7 linked regions of the Oryzias latipes genome follow. The protein of the gene in region 1 purifies or fractionates together with the protein of each later gene. This does not show direct contact. Links are inferred from orthologs where the notes say so. Each region holds a gene or a part of one and is shown on either strand. Other genes may lie near its edges.

The links.
Region 2: the proteins of SRSF protein kinase 2 (region 1) and scaf1 purify together in Homo sapiens (affinity purification with mass spectrometry; 3 studies listed by BioGRID and IntAct, with this or other methods). This does not show direct contact. The link is inferred for Oryzias latipes from reciprocal best matches to the Homo sapiens genes SRPK2 and SCAF1.
Region 3: the proteins of SRSF protein kinase 2 (region 1) and gnl2 purify together in Homo sapiens (affinity purification with mass spectrometry; 3 studies listed by BioGRID and IntAct, with this or other methods). This does not show direct contact. The link is inferred for Oryzias latipes from reciprocal best matches to the Homo sapiens genes SRPK2 and GNL2.
Region 4: the proteins of SRSF protein kinase 2 (region 1) and nop2 purify together in Homo sapiens (affinity purification with mass spectrometry; 3 studies listed by BioGRID and IntAct, with this or other methods). This does not show direct contact. The link is inferred for Oryzias latipes from reciprocal best matches to the Homo sapiens genes SRPK2 and NOP2.
Region 5: the proteins of SRSF protein kinase 2 (region 1) and c17h1orf35 purify together in Homo sapiens (affinity purification with mass spectrometry; 3 studies listed by BioGRID and IntAct, with this or other methods). This does not show direct contact. The link is inferred for Oryzias latipes from reciprocal best matches to the Homo sapiens genes SRPK2 and C1orf35.
Region 6: the proteins of SRSF protein kinase 2 (region 1) and E3 ubiquitin-protein ligase RBBP6 purify together in Homo sapiens (affinity purification with mass spectrometry; 4 studies listed by BioGRID and IntAct, with this or other methods). This does not show direct contact. The link is inferred for Oryzias latipes from reciprocal best matches to the Homo sapiens genes SRPK2 and RBBP6.
Region 7: the proteins of SRSF protein kinase 2 (region 1) and pnn purify together in Homo sapiens (affinity purification with mass spectrometry; 3 studies listed by BioGRID and IntAct, with this or other methods). This does not show direct contact. The link is inferred for Oryzias latipes from reciprocal best matches to the Homo sapiens genes SRPK2 and PNN.

Annotation. Positions count from the first base shown.
Region 1 is NC_019864.2:11,784,748-11,788,247, forward strand, and holds part of SRSF protein kinase 2, read right to left. Parts: intron 2,306-3,500; coding exon 2,218-2,305; intron 2,110-2,217; coding exon 2,022-2,109; intron 1,943-2,021; coding exon 1,836-1,942; intron 1-1,835. UniProt on the Homo sapiens protein: Serine/arginine-rich protein-specific kinase which specifically phosphorylates its substrates at serine residues located in regions rich in arginine/serine dipeptides, known as RS domains and is involved in the phosphorylation of SR splicing factors and the regulation of splicing.
Region 2 is NC_019866.2:24,765,844-24,769,905, reverse strand, and holds the start of scaf1 (splicing factor, arginine/serine-rich 19), read right to left. Parts: upstream 2,801-4,062; 5' UTR 2,614-2,800; intron 1,329-2,613; 5' UTR 1,258-1,328; coding exon 1-1,257.
Region 3 is NC_019874.2:23,612,859-23,616,358, forward strand, and holds part of gnl2 (nucleolar GTP-binding protein 2), read right to left. Parts: intron 1,080-3,500; coding exon 951-1,079; intron 1-950. UniProt on the Homo sapiens protein: GTPase that associates with pre-60S ribosomal subunits in the nucleolus and is required for their nuclear export and maturation.
Region 4 is NC_019874.2:20,209,456-20,213,623, reverse strand, and holds the start of nop2 (probable 28S rRNA (cytosine(4447)-C(5))-methyltransferase), read right to left. Parts: upstream 2,801-4,168; 5' UTR 2,680-2,800; intron 1,572-2,679; 5' UTR 1,558-1,571; coding exon 1,452-1,557; intron 1,327-1,451; coding exon 1,284-1,326; intron 1,202-1,283; coding exon 1,137-1,201; intron 726-1,136; coding exon 424-725; intron 1-423. Other genes in the region: emg1 (ribosomal RNA small subunit methyltransferase NEP1), read left to right, coding at 2,993-3,142, 3,262-3,363, 3,716-3,857, 3,932-4,137. UniProt on the Homo sapiens protein: S-adenosyl-L-methionine-dependent methyltransferase that specifically methylates the C(5) position of cytosine 4447 in 28S rRNA. Required for efficient rRNA processing and 60S ribosomal subunit biogenesis.
Region 5 is NC_019875.2:27,890,373-27,894,666, reverse strand, and holds the start of c17h1orf35 (multiple myeloma tumor-associated protein 2), read right to left. Parts: upstream 2,801-4,294; 5' UTR 2,346-2,800; coding exon 2,249-2,345; intron 2,131-2,248; coding exon of another isoform or gene 2,109-2,130; exon of another isoform or gene 1,809-2,108; intron 1,164-1,808; exon of another isoform or gene 1,130-1,163; coding exon 979-1,129; intron 888-978; coding exon 842-887; intron 766-841; coding exon 683-765; intron 314-682; coding exon 241-313; intron 1-240. Other genes in the region: guanylate kinase, read left to right, coding at 2,908-2,941.
Region 6 is NC_019859.2:21,164,417-21,167,916, reverse strand, and holds part of E3 ubiquitin-protein ligase RBBP6, read left to right. Parts: intron 1-101; coding exon 102-141; intron 142-2,898; coding exon 2,899-2,940; intron 2,941-3,058; coding exon 3,059-3,147; intron 3,148-3,254; coding exon 3,255-3,351; intron 3,352-3,450; coding exon 3,451-3,500. UniProt on the Homo sapiens protein: E3 ubiquitin-protein ligase which promotes ubiquitination of YBX1, leading to its degradation by the proteasome.
Region 7 is NC_019880.2:19,637,658-19,640,917, forward strand, and holds the end of pnn (pinin), read left to right. Parts: intron 1-819; coding exon 820-958; intron 959-1,086; coding exon 1,087-2,228; 3' UTR 2,229-2,760; downstream 2,761-3,260. Other genes in the region: gemin2 (gem-associated protein 2), read right to left, coding at 3,093-3,129. UniProt on the Homo sapiens protein: Transcriptional activator binding to the E-box 1 core sequence of the E-cadherin promoter gene; the core-binding sequence is 5'CAGGTG-3'. Capable of reversing CTBP1-mediated transcription repression.

The sequences.
Region 1 (3,500 bases):
ACAATTCATAGGGGAAATTCTAATAAACTACTGCTGCTCAGCAGATACTATGTCCTGGAAAACAACACGGGTATTTTGATTTAGGCAAACAAACTCCATAATCATAATGAATAAAACAATAAATAAATAAATAAAAAGTTTATATCCAATTATGGACATGACAGTTTAGGACGTTACTAACAAAACAAACAAAAAAACGTTTTAAGAATTGCAATCTTTATTGTCTTTATGTAGATTTCATCAAACTTATATCAAAACTTTTTTTTGTATATATGATGTTTTTTTCTTAAATTAATTTATAGGAAAGGTTTATTGGCAATTACATAACCAACTGTCCTATTTAAAACTGTATTTTTATTTTACTTTGAGGATTGTCCAGTTAATTTATTTTTGGTCAACCAGAAAACAACCATCCTTTATAACTTTTTTTATATCACACCAGAAAAAAAATGGGAGAACAAATTTCAGGATGAATTCAGGACAAATTTCAGGACACTTGAACATTCCATATAATATCTTCAAAATAGCAAAAAATAGTGAAGTGAAATGATCTGTTTCCTGCTTTCACTTTCTCTAGTGCAGTGTTTTTCAACCAGTGTGCCATGGGAAATTGCCCTCATTAACTGATCTAAAAACATTTTCCATCTCCAGGAAATAAGCTCTTTGTTCATCCAAACAGGCCCCTCATAAAACACTGAGTAGTTAGGAATATAAAAGATCATAAAATACCTTTTTCTTTGTGTTTATTTGATTCTATTAAAGAAACTTTGATAAGAATGACGGTACCGCGATTTAGCCGTAGCTACAGCTGTTTTCGGAAAAGTTCCGCCCCTTTAACTGTCTCCACCAATCATTCTTGAAGGCTTAATCACATGTCATCAGTCTGACCAATCAGAAGTGGTTAAAGTCTTCACTTCCTTGTTCTGATTCTGCTCATAAAGTCGCTCAGTTTCAACAAAAATACCAGCTAAAGCTCATCTTTAGCGGTGTAGCTTTCCACAGAATCCGGTGTCAAACCGTGGAACAAGTGAACAAAACAATGAAGCTCAGAGACGCTAGTCTGTCTGCCACTACATCTCCCATGATACATTTGGCTAAAGTGACAGCGTCTCAGCGCACAATGAGTCTTTCCTCTTAAACATCTTGAAACCACAACGAACACACATCAAACAGTTTTTAAATCTTTTAACTTAACTTTTATTACATCTTTTAGAAAAAACAGCTGCAGCTTCCAGGTTTCTCTGCCACAATTATCACAAACATGCATGTGAGATTGCAGAGGGGCTGTAGATCAATACAGACTATGAGTTTCTCCTTTTTTTTATTTTTCGATGCCAGTTTGCCGCGGGATTTTTTTTTCAAGGTTAAACTGTGCCGTGGCTCAAAAAAGGTTGAAAAACACTGCCCTACTGGGTCTGTAAACAACTTTATTGTTTACAGCAAAGCATAAGAACATATCTTCAACAGTGATTACCTTTGCCCAACACACTAATGTGCAGAAAATACCTGAAGTTCCGCTTAATTGGCAAAACTTAAACTTAAATTAAAGATGGCAGCAAAAGACGCATATTTAAACTTAATATGTCTTTTTCCTACCAAGCCTCTTCCAACTGTAGCTGGTGGACATGTGCTAGTTAACAGAAGCAAAAAGAAGAAGCCCCTCCCTGCTTGTCAAGTGTAAACACAACGGGCTGAACATGCCCGGTGTGTACCTATGGGTAAATGTGATCTTATACATCATCTTTGTGATAAAGGTCTGAGTAATATGACAAGCTCTAGCTGAATCTATGACACTCTAATGAAAAAGTCGGTGTGTTTTGTGTGAACATCCTCACCTGTCTGATTATGCTTTTGACACACTGCAGAGGCAGACCTTGGTAGTTAGATTTAATAATCCATTTCAGCAGGTGATGACCCAACACCTCAAAAACCATGCACACATCTGTGAGGATGAGTCAAGGACTCCAACTCCAATCTCTTTGATGCTGGCTCCCACAAAGGCATCCTTTTAATTAGGATACGTATGCCGTTGACTCCAGAGATCTTGAAGTCGTCTATCAGCTGAACCACCATGTCCTTGTTGGGGTCTCCGGGGTCGCTTTCTCTCACCTGCAGGACAAGATGGTGAAGAGGTCACCATAGAAAAGTCTACGGAAAGAGAGGCTGTAAAGGAAAGGTGATGTTTGGGGGGATGGAATCAATGGATTTGATTCTCACACATCGCAGCAGTTTAATCTCATCGAGTGCCGTCTCTGTGTAGTGCTGGGCGCTCTTCACCACCTTCATCGCCACAAAGTTCTTCACCCTGCAATGCGACACAATGAAGAGGTTCAGAATTTATCCGTGTGAATATTCTAGTTACTGAGGTGTAGGGTGCCAGGGGGCTGTGAAGAAAAACAAAAACATCACAGAAAAAAAAAAAAAAAAAACAGCAAATGTAAAGAATCTTTAAGACGGACCATCCTCATTTTGGTCATCGCCGTGTTTTTCTTTTACAAGGTGCAGGCTGCACTTCCATGACTTCGTTTCTACTCCATAAGGTAAAAAAAAAACTTAATTTCTCATTTTCATTCAACTTGTTCACCTAAATGTCAAAACACGTTAGAAATTATCTGCCAAAAACCTTCTATCCTTTCATGAGGAAAGGATACTTACTATGCATTTCTATGTTACACATTACTGAACAGCAGTAGTAACAGTTTGCATTTTAAAGTCATTGCAATGGAACAAGCATACATATACTGTATACGACTCAGGCTACGTATACATTAATTATTTGGCGCGTCTTTTTTTCTACTGTTTACTAGCGCATGATCGCCACCCACAATCACAAAAGGTGTAATGTCAAAGCGGTGCAAATCTTGTAAATTGGGCTCGAAAAAGAAACGGTTCGGTTCAACGCTGGCGTCTTTGCAATGGCGGGACAAAACAAAACTGTTACATAAAAAAAAAAGAATGACGACAGCATTTTACAATGCCATCCCGGAACCAAACTGCTACAAACTAAGAAGAAAAATAAATCAATAAAAATAACATCATAAAACTACATCGCATGGTAAAATACATGAAAGGCAGATAGAAAATGAAATAAAATGAGTAAAAGAAAATAAGATGCTATTAACTACTGAGTAGTAGAAGCTGTTCTAAAAACGGTACCAATAACCACAGTGTTTCTGCCATAACCTGGGCACATCCAGTAGAAAAAACGCAAAATAAAACAAAAAGGAGCGTTTTTTAATCAAGCATAACCTGTAAATAATGCAGGTTAAGTAACTACAGAACAGAGGATGGCAGTTCCATGTTCATGTGATTAGTCTAAGGTCTTGACTTCTGAACAATCGTGACCAAACCTGAGACGATGACCACCGTCAGCGTAAGAAACACCAGTGACAACGCAGAGTGTGTTCGTGCACAAGTCTGTGAAAGGAGAAACTCCTGGAATGATGGTACTATCAATTATCAAGCCAACAGGTGTTGCCGTGTCAACACCTGTGGTTTCA
Region 2 (4,062 bases), on another chromosome or scaffold:
GAAGGATCGCCTGGAGTGACCTCCCTTTCGTGAGGAGTTGCAGGAGTGGGAGGCCTCCGGGGTGCTCTGCCGTCTTCTCTTTCTCTTACGGCTGCTGCTCCTGCTGCTCCTCCTTGCTTTGACCTCCTTTCCAGCCTTGCCTCCTTGCTCTTTGTCTTTGCTCCTGTTCCGATCTCCCTCTTTGCCTTTCCTTCTCTTCTTCCTCTTCGTCTCCTTATCTCCGGTTTTGCGTTCTTTGCTTTTCTGCCGGTCGGGCTCCTTGGCGCTCTTGGAGGCCTTGTGGCTCTTGCTGGGCTGCTCAGCGGGGGGAGTGGCAGGAGAAGGGGGAGGTCTCGGCTGCTGAGGCGAAGGGGGCGATGAGGCGGGAAAGGAGAGATACCGCTCCTTCCTCCTGCTCACCAGCTTCCTCCTCAGATCTTCCACCCCGACCACAGGCTCGTCCTCCCGCTCTTCCTCCCAGTTTCCTTCGGCGCAGACCGACACAAACCCGTCTCCGTCCAGAACCCGGAGGATCCTCTCTGGCTTTGAAGCAAAGAAGGAGATCTTGGGGGAGCCAGGAGGCGGGGCTTCTTCGTTCAGTCTTTTTTTGAGCCCGTCTCTGTCAACGACTCCAACTATTTCTCCTTCCTCGATCTCAGAATTATCAGAGTCAACGGCGCCCGCCGGCCGCCCGGCTCTGAGGGGGCCACGCTCCACCCTCCTCCTCAGAGGGAGCTTGGTGGTCAGCTGGGGGCTCGGCAGGTCCGTCAGTGTGTCTGTAGAATCTGGAGGTTCTTCATCTTTCTCCTCCTCTTCATCGTCATCCCCCTTTGAAATCCATTCTTTGTCGCTCCTGTTGTCCTCATCTGATGCCGGGGAGCCGGTGGGGTCAAAGGGGTCGTACTTCTCTCCTTCTCCCCCCTCCACCTCCCCCCTCCTCTCCTTGTCTCCATCAGTGGGACTGAAGGGATCGTACATCTTCCTCCGACCATCTTCGGCACGGTCTCCACCGGACTGCATGGATGCGCGAGGGAAGTCCAGGGAGGTGGGAGGAGTGGTGAGCGTGGCAGATGTGGAGAACCCCGCCCTCTGATTTTTCACATGGTTTTGATAAGCCCCCACCGACGAAGATGAAGACAGGGGGGAGGACGGGTAAGATGAAGGTGAAAGGGACGAGGAGGGAGAGCGACGAAGAGTCCTGGCGGGCTCCCCAACTCCAGCGGGGGACGAGGGGGAGGCGAGCCTCCTCTTCAAACCAAGAGTTGGAGTCAAGTCCATGAGGGGGGGCACAGAGATCTCCCTGTGGGGCTGGGGGGGCGGCGGTCACACAAGGACAAGCAGGAGCGAATCTAGAGGAAAGAACAACAGAAGGATTAGAGTTCAGACCTGATGATGGGACCATGTGACCAAAGCTGGTTCTCCCTCAAAAGTAAAACTCCACCGCTAGCAAGCGCCGCCACACCCGCCACCGCCTGCGTTTTACCGACCAACAAAGTTTCCTTTGGGACCACGCACCGATAATCTGTGTATGATGTGATAATAACAAATATTCCGTTGTCGTTTACTTCGTGAGCACAGCCACTGTGGTTTCAGTGTGCACCGACAGAGCATCTGTGATTGGTCGATACACCAGCGAGGCTGCAAGCCTCCTTCACGCCATCCTCAGCCTCATGCTACGTTCACACCGGGCCTGTGCTGCGCGTTTGGGACGCACTAAGCTATCTTGGGCGTGCTTTTAGCCCATGCTGTTCACACTGGACAGCCGCTAGCGGATCCTAGTGCACGCACCTGGTGTGAACGGTCAAAGCGGTGCAAACCTGGTGAATCTGGCTCCAGGCCTTTTATTTTACAGACTTGGTGTCGTAGAAGCCAGGGACAAACCGCTAAAATAAGATTTCCCTTTCATGATCAGTGCGTCAGTGAATAATAAAGAATGCTACCCATTCATCAGCACCAAAGTTGAGTCTCTGACTGGACACTTGATGGTGCGTTTCTGGGACTAGAGACGTGACTCCATCCACATCTACAGATGGTCATGGATGTTTCTAGAGATGGATGGAGTCACATCTCTAGTCCTGGTTCTAGAAGTGTGACTCCATCCATTCATCCATCCATCCATCTAAGATTAGGAGCTTTACTTTGGTTCCAGCATCTGTTTCCAGGGCAACCAGGGTGCCGTCCTTGCACGTGCCTGCAGTCTCCTGCGGACTCAAACGTTCTGCAGCCCCGTTCTTGGATCGCACCGGGTTTTTTCGGAACCACCATGCGTGTTCTAGTCATTCCCGAGTCCGGACTGGTTCCCCGCACGCTTCGTGGGTGTCTTCATAAGGCGGCTGGCCTGTTCTGGGGGGGGCTGTGGCTTCCCTGCACCCCCGCTGCCTGATGTCAGCCGGACTGTTGACCGTGACGCCGGACGCTCCCCGACGCTGCCTCGTCTGTCCGCTTCCAGGCTGGAAGACGCACGTCGCTGTGCGCGTGTACGTACGGTGTGTGTGTGTGGGGGGGGGGGGGGGAGTCAGCAATAAAATGCGCGTGCCGCATTTCACGCACTTCACTGCTCAGCAGTAGACAGTCGGCTAATATAGCCGCCGTGCTTAGGAGGCAGACAGACAGACAAGCGCGTTCACGACTCACCGTCCGCGCTCCCGTTTCCCCTCCGAGGCCGCAGCATCCGCCCCGGGATCACCGACAAGCCGTCTAAGACACCGACTCGCTTCTCCAAGCCCCGCGCGGTCCGCTTTAGTCGTTTTTTAGAAACGCAGCGGCAGCCTTGTTCCACTTAGCGCCGCCATCTTCCCTCTGGTGAAACCGGATCGCTAAGGACGATGGGAAATTGAGTTTGTTATGTCATTCTTCCCTGTGTGGCTCTGAAAGATTGATATGGAGGGAAAAAATAAAATAAAATTTAAAAAAGACTGATATGGTGGGTACTTTTTACGTAATACTTTCTGAGTTCAAAGCCTACAAACAAACACGAAGCAAAAACGGAATTCACAATAAAAACGTTGTTTAAAAAACCTCAAAATATTTCAGTCTTTAAAGTTGATAATGTCTACATGTACTCATATATAAATTCTTCTGAATTATGGTGCTGACATTTGGACCTCAAGTCTTAAATAAAAAACAGATTCCATTCTTTTTAACCGCTATTAAAAACCCACTCCAATGAAATTTAGAAGTGTTTTTTTTTACAGCATTTTTCTAACGATGGAGGACATTAATAAAGAAAATTAAGATTTAAACCTCATTTCTGAGTATTTCTTTATTCAAATGGTGGTAAATCAGACGCAAATGGAAAAAATGCTGTTAGGAAAAGCTTGTAGTTTACCGTTTGTAAAGCTGCTGTCAAATATTAATAGCTAAAATATTGGTAATTTAGTCTGTTTTTGGAGAAAAACAGGTTTAATTTTTCAAATGCACATTTTCACTTTTTAATTCATGTATTTATAAATGTTACACTTACTTAATATGTAGTCAGCAAGCTAAATATTTAATTTAAAGTTAAATGTTTTTTTTAAATAATTACCGGTACATGTTAAGTTTACAGAATAAAAATTTTAGTTTGTTAATTAACTATTTAATTTAATAAAATAAATCATTTGCAAATGAAATATTAAGATCTAGCCTTAAAATTAATTTTCTAAACTAAATATTTAATATTTTTAACTAAATCTTCATTTGTCGTAATCCTGCTGGCAGCCGACTGTGCTTTGATGAAGAGGAGCATCACTGAAGCAGCTGTTCTTTCTACACCTGTGGAACAGACCCAACACCTGAACAGCAGGGAAGAACTTCAACCGGCAACCTCCGTCTCTGCCTGCTCATATGTTGAAGTGTCCTTGAGCAAAACCAACGCGTACGACACCGTTAGAAAACCAGAAGACGGGGGTGCAGCTGACAGCTGGACTGAGAATCTGAGCTGTGGGTGTTTGTGTTTCAGAGGGTCGGGTGTCATGCGGGGTGGAGCTGATGGAGGCGACCAGAGCTCACCTGAGTTTAGGCTGCAGCACGAGAAGGATGAAGGGTGGTGGGTAAATGTGAAGGTCAAAAGGTCAAGGAGATGTGTAAAAGACTGTGAGATAT
Region 3 (3,500 bases), on another chromosome or scaffold:
ATTGTCATTTGTGCCAAAATCAAAAAAGTGCTTTTGTTTATTGGACATGTCTTTGCAGAGCAGCAGTAGTTCATTAGAAATTTGCTTTTGAGTAGTGAGGGGGACCATTGGGGCGGAGCAAGCCCGCCACTTCCCTCGCCATTAGCTGCGAGCTTGGAGCAGTGAGCTTGTGGCCCGCCCAACTTATTTACCACAAAGCAAATTAGCTCTTTTTCCCAATGGCCTTTTTCCTCTGTTCCTGATTCACAATGATTTGGATAAAGAAATACTAAGAAATACAAATGTAAGCTTAATTTTCTCTATATATGTCCTCCATCATTAAAAAAATGTCACAAGAACATGTTTTAAAAACACAATTTTCATCAGAGTGGGGCTTTAAGCAGGAAAGAACTGACTTTACAATAGATAGACATAAGCACATTAGCTTTAACTTCTTTCATAAATGGAATTTGAAATGGAGATCTAAGATGTTTCGGTTGACTCTAAGCGTGAAAATTGTTTTAGGGAAGCAACAACATTGCAGAAATAGCTGAAGGCTGCTTTTCTGTATCAGTGGAAAACCTGCAGACTGACCCGTCAGGTCCACTTAGTCTTTACTGCAACCTGAAGTGATGGTCTTTTTGGTCTAGGTACCCCTCAAGTTTAAAGACTGCAGTTTGTGCATCAACAGCCGACATTGTTGAGACCGGGAAAAAGAAAAATCGAATATTTTTGTAACAATTTGGAATTTTTCTCATGGCAAATGGGCTCTTCTGAAAGAGGGCCATGTCAAATGTGGTGCTTGTACCAGAGAAAGCACAATGTCTGAAATATTACCCTTAGCCTTTGGTACTAGTAAGATGTCTCTCTCAACAGGAAAGTAAATGTGCAGAGATACACAGCATCTCATGTTAAAAAACACTAGATTGTCATGTTCTTTTTTGACTGATCAAAGATGACGTCGACTTTACCTTTGTTTCTCCGGCGATCGGCGCCACGTTGCAGACTTTCTTGGAGCGCAGAGTGTTGATCACAGAGCTCTTTCCCACATTTGGATATCCGATGAAACCCACGCTTATCTGTTTCTTGTCTGTGTGGAGCTGCGAGAGGTAAAAAAAAAGAAAAGAAATGGAGAAGTTTCTTTTTCTTTTGTTTTCACAGATGTGCTTCCTTTATAAACAGAAAATACTTTTGTGCATCTTTTCAAACAATCAGAATATAGCCAGAAAGTTTCCTAATTACACCCCCCCCCCCCAATATTGTGACTGTACACAAATTACGCAATTTTTATTTTGTTTTGGAACATAATGTGAGTATTTGTTGTGGTTATTCTGATCATGAAAAAACAGTGTTTATGCATGTATGATGATGCAAATGCAATGGGTAATATAAATATGAGTACAGAGCTGCTAAGGAGCAGAAAAGACGGAAAACACTTTCCTACAGAACATTTATAAAAGCCAGATTAAATTCTGGAATGTGTAATTTTTTAAATCAAGAGAATAAAGGGATGAGAAGGGTACAAAGAAGGAAAGGAAGGCTCATTATCTGAAGCACTTCACATCATTTTTCAAATGTTTAGAAAGCAGAGTTAAGGCAGAGGCATGTGAAAGGAGCCAAAGGAACCAGTGTTTATTGATCATTTGCCTGCTGCCAGAAGCAGCAGAATGAATCATGATATGTATAAAGAAGCCATTTTGAACAAATTTAGTCCAATGTTTCAGAAACGGAGGGGATGGCACAACAAAAGTAAACACAGATGGACGGATTTAAGAGGGGAAAAAAAAAAAAAGAAAATGCAGAGGAAGTATCCCAAAAAAACGTTTCTGCTGCAAAGAGATGGAATGTTCTGAAAAGGCAGAGCGAGCATCTTGACCTCAACTCGCTGAACTTCCCCTTATCAAAGAGGCCCCAAAACATGCAAACACAGAGCAAATGAACGTGTCGGGGATTGTTCTCCAAAGCAGCCAAAGGAGGACGAATATTCTCAAGTCTTTCTGTGGAAACAAAAAAAAATTATGGCTGATTTACTACTCCCAGCCCCTATCATAATCCACTCTCTCCCATGCTTAACAGGAGAAGTCTGTGAACCCGCTACTTTAAAAAAAAAAATGTTTTTATGATTAAAATGGGCAGTAGTCTTCACTGTTCTGGGATGACACAACAGATTTTCTTACATGAACACGAAACACAACAGCTGCTGTAAAACAAAAAAGAAAAAAAAGTAAGGACAGTAGTTCTTTCTGAGGCTTCTGAAGAAGCCGGTCTTAGTGAGAAGCCTGGCTGCTGCGCTGCTCATAAACGTGCTGCTCGAAAAGTGAATGACACAACTGATAAAATCACTGGCTGTACTCTCTGCTCTCAGCAGGAAATTACCACAAGGATTTGCTCCAAAGGCATAAAAGTTGCTCACTTCAAGAATTGTTTTTCCTCCAACAGCAAAAACGACTCCAAACAAGAACAAACTTTAAAACTTTTATGACGTAATTCCTTTACTATTAGAAAACATTGTATTCTTAATACCAATTCATCTGTTGTATATATATGATTTATTTAATTATCATTTTAGTTACACAGCAAATTGATTATGCCTCTTGTATTTTCATACAAGGAAAATTTTTCCTGACAACATAGGCGTGAGGTTAAAGCATCTACACCAAAACATTTTAAGCCTTAATTGTTCTGATGCAATTCTGTAACTTTCTGACACACTCATTTCCCCGACTGTAAACCATGATCATCAAAATTACAATCAATTTATAAAGGAATATTTATGAGAAACTATACTATTAAAAAAATCAAATTTACATTTTTTTAAATAAACAACTAAAATTTGGAAGTTTTTCTGAAGATTGAAGGTTTTTTAGATCTTCCTCTAGCATCCTAAAGTACACTTGATTATCTGGTACTAATTATTAAGTTTAGGTCCTATTTAAAACACTACTTTCAGGCAAACAGAGCAGGTTAAAATAAACAAAGACAAATAGATTTAAGCTCAGTTTTTACAAAAATGCAATTTAATTATCTGTACATTGCTAAGACATAATGTTAAACAATTCAAGTCTGCAGGTCTAGAATTATCTAATATAGTACAGAATGTTTTAATTACCTATATTGATTGTGTGCGGTCATACGTTCGATTTTTAATTCTTCCATCCATCTGCACTCGTTTTCTCCCTTATGGGGTCACGGGGCTGCCAGAGCCTAACCGGCCACTGTTGGGTGAAGGGAGGGGACACCCTGGACAGGTCACCAGTCTGTCTGGGCCACAATCACACACCCATGCACTCTCACATTCACACCTAGGGACAATTTAGAGTAACCAATTCACAGATGAAGCATGTTTTTGGATGATGGGAGGAAGCCGGAGTGCCAGGAGAAAACCCACGCCTGCACAGGGAGAACATGCAAACTGCACGCAGAAAGATCTGGGACTAGAACCGGAGGACCTCTTGCTGTGAGGTTAGAACGCTAACCACCACACTTGTTTTGATAAGTCTACCACATTTTTATTAGCTGTA
Region 4 (4,168 bases), on another chromosome or scaffold:
AGTTACCGGTACTCTAACTTTGTAAGATAGAAACATAACTATTCATCTTACTAAGACCATAATCTTGGGTAAATAAATGCTGTCTACTGCTGGACAAATCCTCCACACAAGGTTCTCAAAGGTGTTTTAAGACCAGAAAGTTCCCAGTTCAGAGTTCTTACATTGGAAAGTAAGAGAACTGTGAGACATCTTTGTCAGCTGGTATTGACATTTGAAACTCAATGATGAAGTGGTGTAAGAATGATGCCTGTTTTATTTCTTTGATGTGCATTTGAATCACAGAAGTCTTTTAGTCCATATCTAATTCTACTTTCGAGTATTTAATGATTTAGACAATTTGTTTTCTTTTACCCAATTGCAAGTTGTCACTTTAAAAAAAACCCACAAGCTAAACGATGTAGTAATCAAGAAAAGATCACTTACATCCTCTGCATCGCTGTCCTCTTCCTGTGCTTCATCTTCACTCCCATCATCCAGAGCCCCATAGTCATCAACCATGTCTTCGTCACTGTCATCTTTATCATCCTCGTCTCCCTCTACTTCTTTTATTTCTGTTTTTGCAGGGCCTTTGCTTCCCTTCTGCTGAAGCTGAACTTTCTCCTCCTCATATTCATCACCATCACTTTCTTCCCAGAGTTCCTCGCTGTCGTCTTCACTTCCCGCCTCATCGGCCTTACGCTTTCTCTTTGTAGGTTTCAACCACTTACTGTTTTCATCTGTAAAACCTTTATAGGAATTGACATAAAAAAGTTTGGGCATCAACATTTAAACACCAACAAATAGAAAAATTAATATCCGAAACAATTTATGAAAAATTGAATAAAACATCTAGATAATAAATAAAGGTGGACAAAAGCATAATTCCTCCAGTTCCCTGTGAGTGTCACTGAAGTACCCCTAAAACAACTACGTCCCTGATTTATTTGAGTTAGCTAAAAAGTATATTTAACAAATTCATACGTGCCAAAAAAGAATACATTTCATTTTCTCATTTTTTAAAGTACAACTGTAATTCTTTCTGCATACCACAGATTGTGGGGGAAAAACTCCTGCTGCATTCTGCCTCTTTTTACGTGTTAAAAACAAACCAACAAATAAATAAATAAAAAAATAAAAAAAATCACACTAAACTGTACCTTTTTTGGGCTGTTTTTTTGGAACTTCCTTGAGATTTTTGGAATTGTCTGCTCTCTTTGCAGCTCTGAAAATTCAGACCAAAAAAATCCACAAAAATCAATTTACATCACATAAGGAGTCGACACTTTTAGCCAGCCTACTCGTACCGTTTCCTGGCTCTGCTTGACAAACGCTTTGGTCCAGTATCCTCTACAAAGAAAGAAACATATATTAAAATAGGTTATGCAATTGGATTTTAATATATAAAAAGGCACTTTTACAAACCACTATTGATTCATAAACTAATAACGGACAGAAAACAAATAAATCCTTACCATCAGTAATAAACTTTGCGAGTTCAACCTCTGCCCCCTTCTGCTTCCTGGCTTTCTTACCAGGTCCTCTCTTCACTTTGTTGGTGGGATCCAACTTCCGACCCATGGCTCTGACTTACACTAAGCATTACAGACAGAAAAATGCACCAATGCATATAAAATAAAACCAACTGTTGGGGAGGAATGTCTTTTGGATGCATAGATAGAACAACAACATACATTTCAATGTAAAATATTAACCACCTTTTGTTTTAGCATCTTAAGCTATTTACAAGTGACGCTTACAGATGCTTGGTTTTAGCCAATCTGTTATCAGTTTTAGATTTTTATTTTATACATCATGACACAATATCATACAAAACTCTCAAAGAAGATGATAACATGGCATAACCTTGTAGGGGCTGTACAAAAGACATAATACGCAGTGATTTACTGATGACCAAACACAATACTTTGAAGCAAAATTATTATTATTTTTATTAAAATAAAATAAGTATGAAAAACAAGGGAGCCAAAAGAATAGAAATGTAAAAATAAAACGGAAACTAAAACAATAACCAAGTAGAGACTAGTTGAAAGATTATTTTTGCCGTTTTCCAGGTTTGGATGGTTTTACTGATAAAATATATTATGAATTTATTTATAAAGCATAAAAAGTGAGTTTGCTGTATCTACATTTGCTGCAATGAATGTGATATGTGCCAAACAATAAAATGTTAATAATGTCCTATAATGACTAAGTTTGCCATGAATATTTCACACAAAGGGGAAATGTAAACTTAAATATATTGATCTAATTAGTTTTAGCTAAAGTAGAAACTCAAGAAAAAAATCTTTATAATAAATCAAAAGCGTGACATAATATTATATGTCCCACACAATTCTAAGGACTGGCGTTTATCTACCGTGGTTAGCAAATATATTTGGGTGGTAATAATATGCGAGCAGTTTCAAGACTCAATGACATATAAACAGATGTGCATTTGTGACCGTTGACTAGTTTGTTCAAAGTTATTCATTTACGTACATACAACACGTTGTAGAATAACCCTATAGCAGTAGCAAACAAATGTTTTTCACCACCAGGAACAGATAGAACCATCACGAATCCGACGAGCAGAACTTCTTTGCATGACCGCACGCAGTGGCCGAGAAAAATGCCAAAACCTTAGCGAACACAAATATGACTGCATTGGCTGAAGAGATAAATACATTTTACTATACTTACACAACAGATATTCCAGGGGAAACCGAGTTTAAACGTGGTGTGTGAAGAGAATTTAGCACACGTGAATTTTCTTCAGCACGTTGCAGAAGTACATCCGTCGCACACAAATGACATCACTGAGAACGCGCAAGTTAAATCTTAATTAATTAAAAAATACATATATATATATTCAAAGCGGTGAAAATGATAAATATTTCTAGAGAGTACAACGTATTTTCTGTTCTCATTGAAAGTTGTTCCGAAATTAAGTTAAAGTTTCAGTGACGCACTAATCATGCGACTCGAATAGGAGGCTCCAGCGAAAGAAGACAGCATGGCTACCTCCGAAGGAAAGAAGCGTGGTCTGGAGCATTTGGACGAATATGAACCCAAACCTGCGAAGTATATGCGAAGCCTTCACGACCGAATGGCAGAAAGGAGACTTGTTGTCATTTTGGAGGGGGCCTCGTTAGAAACAGTGAAGGTGACGCGTCAGAGACTCGGAAGTTGCATGGCAGCATCTGCCCTGCTCATCACATTAGGTCATTATTTATAAATCTTCTTCAATCGATATTTCGTTTTGTGTCTCCCCCTGTGTTACAGGTCGGAAAAACGTTTGAGTTGCTAAACTGCGATCAACACAAAAATATTATTGTCAAAAGTGGGAGGGATCCGGGACAAGTTAGACCAGACATCACACATCAGGTCAGTATTTCTTCTATTGATCGTAGCCACAGTGAGTCAGAGAAAGATGTGTTGTTGCATTATCAAAAATAAGAAATGTGTTTTTCCGGTTCTGTTGTGTTTAGTTGATTGTTTTTCATTCTAAGCATCACATCTCTAAATATCTGGCTATCAAAGACTCACCGCAATGAAAATTGTGTTTTTAACATCGTCTTTTAGAATTTTCTTATTATGGCAGACATATATAAAGAAAAAAATTAGATTAAAGTTTTTTCTTTTTGTGGTGAATTGAAATAGTAAGAGTTATTGTTTTGTTGTTTGTCTTCAATAATGAGTCAGTCATGATTTGTGCTTTTTAATTGCTTCATTACAGTGTCTTCTGATGCTGATGGATAGTCCATTGAACAGGGCAGGCCTACTGCAGGTTTACATCCATACAGAGAAAAATTCCTTAATAGAGATCAATCCACAGACGCGCATCCCAAGAACGTTCACACGCTTCTGTGGCCTGATGGGTAAAGCTGGAATGGTGTAGTTTGTGTAGACAATGTCATCTTCTTCTTCTAATTTGCTTTTTAACCTTATTTAGTCCAGCTTCTGCACAAGCTGAGTGTCAGAGCAGCTGATGGTCCTCAAAAGCTTCTGAGGCTCATTAAGAATCCAGTGTCTGACCACTTGCCTCCTGGCTGCCCTCGCATCGCCACCTCCTTCTCTTCGGGGGAAGCCGTGGGTCCCAGGACGTTGGTGCCCGAGGGACCGGCTGCTGTGGTGATCGGAGCATTTGCACACGGAGCGGTGAGAAAACTAAAATGATTTTGACCATTTT
Region 5 (4,294 bases), on another chromosome or scaffold:
AAAACAAATTTGTAAGTTTAAGTGATTCATATTTAATCATATAGTCCTGAATCGACTCATTCTTTTTGCCATACTCAACCCTCGTCAATATTGCTAAATAACTAATGCTAATAAAGTCAATAGTTAAAAAATTAAAAATCAAACACATATTTACTACTAATTTTTGACAATTAAAAAATGCTGTTTTAATACAATAATGTTTCCAAATGGCAGTATGGATGATGTAGAAAGACGACTTACTGTAAAAATTTGCAGACCCATTTTAGCCGCCTCCTTTTCCTTTTGGGACAGCACCATTTTTCGTGACCCTGCACTTTAGAGGGAAATAAAGATGGAGTCAACTTAAACAAACCACAGACAGCCAGTCACCTTATCTCCTCTGAACAGAAGGTTGAATTCTGCCAAACCTAAAACTGCAAAGAAAAGTCATGAAATATCCAAGAATATTATTCACCAGCAACCTGATTAACAAATCATTTGACTCATTTTAGTGTATAAACTAGAAAAAAAAAAACTATTAACAAACTCCCATTTGTCATTTGGACAATTAAACATAACTTCTGTACATTTGTTCAAGCAAATTGCATTTATAATAAGAAAAAGAAAAGTTGAAATTTTCCTAAAGCAAACATTTTGCATAAAAAAAATCTGTTTTATGACACAGACAAGAAGATAATCTCACCTTGAGCTTCCTAAACCTGAGATACGATCCACATCCTTCTCTTCACCATCAACCTCTTCTCTCCGGCATACCTCTACAAGATCCTGAAAAAAAAAATCAAATTCAACTTACAGGACTTGACAGCAATTTTTCCAATATTGACCAGCAACGTATCCATACCTCTTTAGTAAGCCCTGTTGGTTGTCTCTTTATATTCTTATGGCCTCTAAGTTCAGAACAAGAAACGCAAAGCATCACTTTTTGTGTCCTAATCTTCAAGAAGGTACAGGAAATGGCTTATGGGAAGTCGCACGTACAGGGCAGCCATCAGTGCCTCCTCCTCTGCAGCTCTGACTGCAGCAAGCTCCTCTTCTTTGGACAAAGGAGCACCACCTTTCTTGTCCTTTGCATACCAGGTCAGATCTTTCCCTTTCTGCCATCGTCCTACGGGAGCCATCAAGGAGTTTCCTGGAAAAAACGCAGAAGAGGTCAAACTATTTAGGTAAAGGTTCTTCTTTAAATTCTACATTTCAAATGCCACAAATTCAGAATACAAAATGTATTATGCAGGATTGTTATACTTTATATTTAGACTTTTTCTTTTATCTAGATGTTTTAATGTTTTGCACCAAATAATCATTTCAATAAATCTATTTGACTTTTAAAGATGATCATGGTTACACACATTTAAATGAAAATATTAGCAGTCCAGACTTCTCCAGTAGATGTATCCTTTTGCATTTTCCCCCATAAAGGTTCAAGTGTAAGAATCAAATTAGAATAGAATAGAATAGAATAGAATGGCTTTATTGTCATTGTGCATAGTACAATGAGATTTAAGCATCACCATCAGTGCAAGAACAGTAAGGAAGGGAAAAGTAGTAAAGATAACATTGTAATATAATAAAATCAAACAAGCAAACAAACAAACAGTATATACAAGTGTGCAATATAAGCTGTAAAATTGATATCAGATCAATGTTTTAAACTTCCTCCAGCTGAGTAAACTTTGTCTTTTAGAATATCTCATTATAGACAAGTGCAGTCTTGTTGTTAGACTGTTTTTTTAATTCCAAGTATTTAGGCAATCCACACATAAGGCAACAGTCTCCTGCCATGTTAAGGGTGGGTGTTTTGAGCCTCATTTCTGTTTGACTTTGCACCTGAAAGGTTGTGGTTTTAGCTCATATTTTACACAGACAACATTCAGAAATCTAAGCAGCTATGAGAGCTTGTCGATTTGCTTTTGTTACATGTTTCTCGGTCCCGACTACTGTGGTGATCACTACGTAGCTCTCTCTGGGCATGCTGACCCGCTGGCAGCGGCGAGGGCACAGAGACAACGAACGTGTCGACCAGAGGAGGCATTGACAGCACGTTTTTGCTTTCTTTACGGAGATTAATCGGGATTGATATCAAGCTATTAGATCAAGCCAAGCCTTGTGTAATGAGGAATTCAATAACAAAAGGTAGGAAAACAACCTAATTTTAGGGGGGCCACACGGGGTTTAAAAGCATCTGGAGCTAATCTTTCCTGGATGTGTGGCACGCGCTGATAGCGTAATCGACTGCACGTTATGGACTTACCGAGATAATTCTCTCTGTGTTTATCGACCTTCACTTCATCCCAGTTGAACTGGTCTTGGCCTCCACGGATGCCTCCGGATCTCGATGAACCAAACATCTTCAAAAGGGCAAAAAAGTGGAGATTCGGGGGGGAAAAGTAACACTTAGCTAGCTAGCTAGCAGCTACGTTGGTTAGCAGAGCTGCGTGGTCGGTGCGGGCCGTTAGCGTGGACTCATCCAGGAAGTTTAGATTCCCAGTTTCCACGAAAGAAACCCACACGGCTGCGTTTGTTTCGACAGCAACTTCCAAACAAACAAACAACCCAACAACGCGACAAAGAGCAGAGCGTTAAAGCTGGACTCTCGCGCGCGCAGCTTAAAGTTGCAAAGACCCAACAAACAATTTTTTTATTTAAGTAAAAAATTTAAAACGGTAGATTTGTAATCCTCAGCAATAAAGATCTGACTACTGCAAATAGAAGCAATACAACTTTTTTCCCGACTAACGAGCATTTCCTGCTCCTTTTGTTTATTTCATTTGGTCGCGTCCAGTGGCGCGCGCGGACGTAACGTGTTTGGGTACGTAGTGATGACGTAGGCGTCTCGCGGTGAGGAAAAGGGCGGCGGAGGCAGAAAATGCTCCGAGGACCGTCTGCAGAATCAGAAAAACCTGCCTCCCGATGTACATGAGACATTTTATCAGACTGTTTTCAGGTAGGAATGAGGATTTTTGACTTCCTTTCCTCCTTCTGCTGTTCTGTTCTCTTTTTCCCATCTCTGTGTCGGAACCACTATTCATTCCTGGAGACACTTTGTTGTCACGGAGCTACAGGAAAAGATGGTGCCCAAGAAGTCAACCGGTGTTTTATTTTATTTCAGGATGCATATAAATCCTAGATGGATGATACAACTTTTGATAGTAGCATAAAAACGTCCAGTATCATCTATTTTGTTTAATGTCAACTTAAATTAGGAAACCCTTTGTAAAATGTAATTTGGGAGAAAAATTACATCACTAACAAAATTGTCTTTCTTTTTTCTTCTTCTTTTTTAAAAATATTTATAAGATATCCAGTTTGCTTATTCATGCAAATTAATGCATTTTCTACCATTTGTCACTAAAAATGTGCATTTTGAAGAATTAGAATATAAGCTTATATCTGTGAGATGTTACATACCTTGCAATATTAAAAAAAAAACAAAAAAAAACATTTAAGTTGGAACCAATTTTTTAGGTTTTGGTTTACTGAAAAGTCTGATAATCTGTTGAGCATTTTTAAATGGTATTTATTCGGAGCAAAACAACATTGGTGCAGTTTGACACAACAGACATTTAACATATTATATTTTTAACCAACCAGTGAGATACTAAAGAAATAAATTAACAGAAAACCGTCAAACCCAAGAGATAAAATCAGTTTATTACTTTGCCACAATAATATCTACATTCAAGTAAACAGGACATCTGTAATGCAATACATGTGTATTTTCTGTGTGTTTTCTTAAGGATAATCAATTGATCTTCTCTTAGAACATGTACTTAACATTGATTGATAACATCTCATTTTAATCAATTTTATATAAAAAACAAACATTTTCTGTCAATTTTTTACGTAAAATGTTCTCATTGAATTAATGAAAGTTGTGTTTTGATTTGGTTAAATCACTAGTTATGTGTTAACAGTGTTTAACCAAACTGTCATGTAAACTGAAATGTAGATTAAAAAAATGTCCAATAGAATTTGACAGTGACGCTCAGCCTTTCTGGTTCACGGAGCCGCTAGTGCTTTGTAGGCTTCACGTGATTTTTATTTGGTTGTAAATCTGATCACATGATTCTCTGTGCGTTCATCATGAGAGTCAGTCTGTGCTGATCGTAGCTTCACATGTTTCTCATTTCCTGTCAGCCTCTTCTAAGTAGGAAAGGTTTTTTTTTTTGGAAAACAGTTTGAGGGAAATCAGAAGCTAATCTTTCTAATTGACAACTTAAGTTTAGAGAAATAAATGGTCTTGAGCAGAACTAGGTCTTAACTATGCACCAAATATATATATATTTTCATCTTAATT
Region 6 (3,500 bases), on another chromosome or scaffold:
GTATTTCACCCAATCTTGTAGAAATCTAAATCAATAATTAAGTCGATTAAAGTAAATGTGTGACTTGTCATTGATGGCCAATGTTGTTTTGTTTTTTGCAGAGATCGTTCTGACACATCTGTGGTTGGATCTTCTAGACCCGTATGTAAAACAAATCCAAATCAACACACTCTTCTCCTCACCTCTTTCTCTCCCACTCTGTTTGGCTTTATTCACCCTTCTCAAGAACATTCTGTCAACAAAAATCCAATTGTATCTTTTGTTTACTGTGTTTTTTTTGTTTGTTTTACATTTGTGTTGATATCTCAACCTCTGTGTGACTTGATGTTCTTTTTTAAGGAGAGTTTTCTACACTTAACACGGTTCATATCAGAAAAATCTCTGCTTTGTGTCTCATATGACATCAGTAGACTAAAGTTATTGTGGCTTATTGAGAGAAGGTTTGGCAGAACGTCCTTTTTTAAGACAATGGAATACATTTTTGAAATGTTGCTCTATTAAAATATTCTGAAAAAGTAATTTTATATGAATGTTGCAGAATTAAATGATTTTGTAGCCTGCTTTAAGCCAGGCATATGCACTTTAAGGAAGTTGGTCTTTTGTGCTGCTAATTTCTTGTAATTTATTTTCTGTGAAAATTTTAATGATCTGGTTTATTTAAAAAAAAAACCACAATAATGACAGTTTTACTGGGGTTGATTGTAATTAACGTGGATTGCAATTACACAGAAGTTGTGAGTGGAACAGATTTGCCAGTAATTTTTTTTTTTTAATGTCAACAACTGACCCTTCTCAACAATGTTCTAAAATCTGTGGTTTGGTAACACATAATGTTGATTATTCTGTCTTGTACAATTTCTTCGTGAAAGCTGTTTTGTTTTTGTTCTGGTATGGACTGAACATAACACACACACAAAATTTAATCCTGAAGTGCACAAAAGTCATTTAGAATTCAAGTGCCTTTTTCTGTCTTGCAATCAAACCTGCTAGATTAATGTGTACTGTTAAAACTGGATTGAGGAGTCTTAAGGAGCTAGTTATTAAAAGGTACTGTGATTTTGCCTCACATGTAATTTTGTCTTTTAAAAGTATTAAGACCCAATGGTAATCTAAGTACCATGTTGATCTTTAGAGGCCTCCAATGGTTGCTGCAGTGAGACGTATGCTGGTGAAGTGTGTCCTGTAAGCTGCAGAACCTGTCAATAAAGCTGTTGAGTGGTTTTGTCAGAACTGCTTGCACCAGATCCCTTTGTGTTCCCTGCGCAGCCTAAAGCAATAACCACTGTCTCCTGTGCCCTGCAGACTGCGATGGATCCTACTCCTGCTAGCTTGAATATTAGACCTTTGTCACATGCATTTAGATCTGCCTTTTGTAGTATAAAATACATTTTTCTTTGCTTAAAGACCTCTTTTCTCAAACTTTGTGATCAACATAACTTTTGCTCCTCCAAAGTAGGACTGACTGACCGTTTCAGGATTCAGTTGAAAGGATTGCTAACAACTGTTTTGTTTTCTCTTATGCTTTCCTCTAAAGCCGGATGTGTTTCTTTTGTCATACCAGTTTTATATATGTAAATGCAGAATTAGCCTTTTTTAAGAGCTTGCACAGCTTTTTGCCAACCTATCGTAAGTCCAGGAAAGAATCTCAAACTATTAAGTTCATTAGACATTGAGGTTTGATTCTTTGGCCTTGGTAAAGACCCACTCTGATGAAAATTGTATTATTGATGTTTATTTTTCTGAGGATAGAAGACACGCATCAACAACATTAAGCTTGCGTATTTAAAATGTCTTTATTCAAATCGTTGTGAATCAGCAGAAAAAAATATACAACCAGCACGTCACAAACTCCCTGCAGCGCTCCATTCTGATGTATCCATTTGTTGACGACTAGATCTACGTACGATCCGATCCACGTTTTCCTCATCCACGTTTGGAATCTGACTCGAAATTACACGGCTGGATAGCTTCAGTATTGATAGCCATTTTTGTTGCACAGCTAATGTTAGGCTGGGGTCGTGAAGGGCTGTAAGCTAGCGGGAGAGCATGTAAACAGAGTGATTACAGGAAATGAGGGCAGGCTCACACCGTGCCAGAATTTCTGCCCACAACTCGGCAGTGAAAATAAATGTCTGCCGCTCTGCTGAAACATTGCTTTAGAAAACTAGCTTTTTCTAGGACAGGTTTTTTTTATTTTTGGCTTACAGCAGCTTAATTGGAATTAATTCCAGTGGGAACACTTTTTCAATCGATCAAAAAGTAATCAGAGTGGGACTTTAAATTAAGGATTAGATGTGCATATAGTGTACTTCTAGAATTTGCTGATTATACCTATGTAGTTCCATAACCTTGATGCATCTAAAAAGGAGTTTAAGGCCATTTAATGCTAGCAGCTCTATAGACTCCACAGCAGAACTGTATTGTTTTATAAATTTGGCCAGAATAGAAGGATTTATGGATGTCCATGTGAAATGGTTCAAACTTAATTACCTTCTTTGGTTCAAAATACCGGTATAACCATGTACCGTCATCTTTGTAGGCAAAAAAATTAGCTTCTAAGTGACTTTGTTTTTTTTTTTACAATTAGCCTTTTAGAGTGTTTCTTTTCTGTTATGTTAACTAAAGCAGATGCAGTTTGAGCAAACCTGAGTTTTGTTTGAACATCAACAGCTAAACTAGATGAAGATTTAATGTTAAATGCAGATTATATGAGGATCTGTCATTGTTTGAATGGTTGATTGCTGTATTTGATAGAACAGCAAAGGCTGTAATAATGTTGCAAGGACGTGATTGTCTTCGCAATCATGTTGCAAGGACACAGGAAGCGTCTTGAGTTCTAATCTATCATTAGATGCCTAACGGGTAACGTTAACTTTATATGCTCTGATTCTCCTGCAGACGGATTCTTCTCCTTCTTTGTCTCTTGCCCAGCTTGCCAAGGTATTTTGTTTACATGGTCACTTTGGAAGAGAATGTCTATTTTTGAATGCTCCTCCCCTAACCTCCCTTTTAAATAAATAAAAAATCCTTTTTAACAATTTTCTCTGCTGACTTTTAGACCGCTAATCTGGTTGACGCAAATGCGTCAGAGGAGGACAAGATTAAAGCCATGATGACTCAATCGAATCATGATTATGACCCAGCAAAGTCAGTAGTCACACATTTTGTCTTTTCGTGCTAAATCGTCTCACCTTTTTGCCTTTTAAACGTGCGTATAAGGGATCAACATAACCTTTTTGATACATTTCCTTTAGTTACTCAAAGAAGGCAATTGGACCCCCACCTGCTCACTATACTTGCTTTCGTTGTGGAAAGGCGGGTCACTACATTCGTCAATGCCCTTTGCCAGTGGTAATCATGTTTTTGTCTGTTTGATTTTTTTCTTTTTTTCTTTTTAAAGGCACATTTTTGTTTATGTAAAAATATATCTTCTAATAAAAATGTTTCTAGGTGCAAGACAAAAGCGCAGACGGTCCTAAACCTGTAAAAATCAGTAAGGG
Region 7 (3,260 bases), on another chromosome or scaffold:
TCAAAGAGGGAAAAAAGGATCCAACTCCTTGTTAGGTTTATTTGAACACAGCTAAAAATGTGTTTTACACTCTTTTCTGTGTCTCGTTACACGGCATGAGCTAATGTGACGACATCCTTTTCCTCAAAACGATGCCATTGACACCATAGACACTGCAATTCATTAAAATGTGATCAGATGAATGCAGGTTTAAGTTAATTTTTTAACATAATACACATTGCTTCTCATCGTTTTCCCTACAATCTGTGTCAAACATTTATCAGTGTAGCTTCTTAGACGTCTTCTACTGCATTGCAGTATGCCTCCACCAGATCAAAGCAGCAGTATAAAGTGTTGTCTGTTGAAACAGGCATTTAAAATTGTTCAGCAAAATATAAAGTTTGAATGAAGGACTGCAGTATAGTTGACTTGCTCCGCCTTCCTAAATCCTGACCAGTGAGTGAAGAGATTTTATTCACATGGTTTTGTTTACTAGCTTTGGTTGGAATCAGGAAAGGCCGCTTGACGGCAGTCTGAATACAGAGCAAACGCAAGGTTGAGTGCTCGATCCGGACCACATGATGCGGACTGGGTCTGGAACAAACTGTTTCCTAGTCTGAATACACTAAGTTGCAACTGAGGCCAAACTGCTAAAAAACGCGACTTGTACTCTGACAAGTACAGTAGTTGTTTATGTGACAGATTTTTTTATATACTGGTTATAAAGACTTTTTTTTTTTTGTTACTCCACTAGCAGGTACTTGCTTGTTCTTAGTTTTTAGTAAAATATAAAAAACACAGATGATTATAAATGTCTATCCCATCTTCTCCAAATACCAGCAAGAGGAGTGGACCAGCCACAACAACAACCTGTTGAAATTCATTCGCACAAAGACCAAGCCTCACATCTTCTACCTTCCTGGAAAAATGTGCTCCGCATCACAGAAACTCCTCGAAGAGTCCACCAAGAAACTAAATGGTCAGTCTGGTCTTTTTTTTTTAAAGAAAGAAGCTTTTTTTTTTTAAATTTACAGAATGAGATTATTTATTTGAAGAAGGCAAATAACGTGACCTTTTTCCTGTTTGGCTTTACCGTTTTCTCCACAGCTGTGTTTGAGGAAAGGCGTGAAGCTTTTGCTGAGCAACTCAACAAGATGGAGTCACGTCCCCGGCGCCAGATAAACCGCGACCAGGACACCAACACTGCCGCAAGGATGGACCATCCGGCGGAGGGTAAGCCAGCAGGTCAGGCAGCCAAGTTGACAGGTAAAAGGAGTGTCGCAGAGATGGAGGAGGAGGAAGATGAGGATGAGGAAGGTCAGAGGGAAGGAGATAGAATTGTGATAGAAGGGGATAATGGGGAGGGAAACAAGGAAATATTAGAAAAAGTAGAAGAGGAGGAAGGGATGGAGTTTAGAGAGGAAGGAAGTGAGAAAAAAGAAGCTGAGGAGGAGAGGAAGAAAGAGGAGAAGCAAGCAAGCCCAAAGTCAGAGGAAATGGAGGTGGAAATAGAAGCAGAGAAGGAAGAGGAGATGAAGGAAGTCAAAACAGATGGCAGACACGGGTTTGTAGACCTACAAGAGAAACCTGTAGAAACCCAGGCTTCTAAACCGAGGGAAAACCGCCAAGAAGCAGCAGATCAGCCCCAACCCAGCCTCGCTGTAGAGGGTCCACCAGAGCAGCCCCCTCTGACAGAGAACGCACATGCAGCCCAAGAAGCCCAGACATCATCCACAGCTGATGTCCAGGACTCTGCCAATGAGAATCGGGCAGAGGAGCTCAAATCAACTGAGGCCCCGCAACCGGTGCCCAATTCCCAAGAGGCCCCTGTCGTCAGCCCTAAAAAAGATGATGGTGATGGTGACAGGGGGAGGAAGAAGGCCAAGTCAAGTAGACGCCGCAGTAAAAGCTCCTCCTCGTCCTCCTCCGGGTCCTCGTCAGACTCCTCTTCAAGTGGAAGTTCCTCCTCTTCTTCTGGATCCAGCCGCTCCTCGTCTTCATCATCTTCGTCCTCTAACAGCAGTCACAGCCGCGGTAGAGATGGTGGCAACCACAAGAGGCGGCCATCAGAGAAAGGTACAGACAAGAAGAGGGAGGAGAGGAAGAGCACCAAGGGAGGAAGGAGTAGTAGAGGAAAGGACTCCAAAGAATCAAAGGAGAAGAAGAGGAGGAACGAAGAAGGCAGAGGCAGGTCTTCACGGAGCGAAGGGGAACATAAAGATAGAGATGGGAAGGACAAGAGACGCTGATGTGATGCGAGGTTCTGATTTTTAGAAAAAAATTAACGGTGAATGGTAAACAGACGTCCAGTGGTCATCAGTCTTCTGTTTTTAAAACTTGTTTATTTTTTTTAAAACCATGGGAGGATTTCTCGTGGTTGGGCTTCTTCCTGTTGGGTCTAAATGTCAAATTATTATTTTTTTTTAATTTCTTTTCCAGCTTTTGAACATTCATGTAATGTGGTTGGACAAAGCATCCGTCAGCTTGTGTCTGAGCCCTTTTCTAAAGATTTTAGAGAAACGTCATAGCATCTTTGCATCCAATATGTTTGAATTGCAGCCCAACATTTGGGAATGAGATGTCTTTTGGGGCTTTGGAAATGTGTTTTACGTGAATGTTGTGGGAAGAGTGACCAATCAAAGGTTGTTAAAATGGTTACGAAATTGTTAATCCACTCTGACACTTTGATCTATTTCAAGTGTGACTTGTTTGTTTTGAATTGATTACGAATTTTTTTTACTTGTAATTTGCTTCAAATTAAAGTTGAGCTGTGAGTGGAAATGTGTTTTCATTCCTGCTAAATTTTTTTTCAGAGGTTTTGCTTATCAAGCAGTTTCCCTAAACTTTATTGTGAAATCAAATGTTTCCTTGAGAGGCTTACACTTTAATGAACATCCAAAACATTCTACACAAATCTTTATTTTGAAAGTCACAACAGTGAAAGGATAAAAAATGAAAAATGCAACGTCTTTTACAAAAATAACTCATGCTTGAAAGAAAACATTTTAGTAAGCGTTCCTTTACCCATAGTTCTTCTCCAACCTTTCTTGGAAAATTGAGTTCATCACCACAAGAGATGCCAGTCCATAAAAACGGCTAAATACTTCAGAGCTTCACTCCTGGTCTGCCAAATCATTTTGTTCAAAGTACCTGTAAAGTAAAAAAAAATCTGTCAATGTCATGTATATAAAGTTGATATGGATTTATTTTTTTCTGTCCCAAATCTTAAGGCTAAATTAAAATGTACACTGCCTTGAAAAACTATTAGCTCTACGTATGTG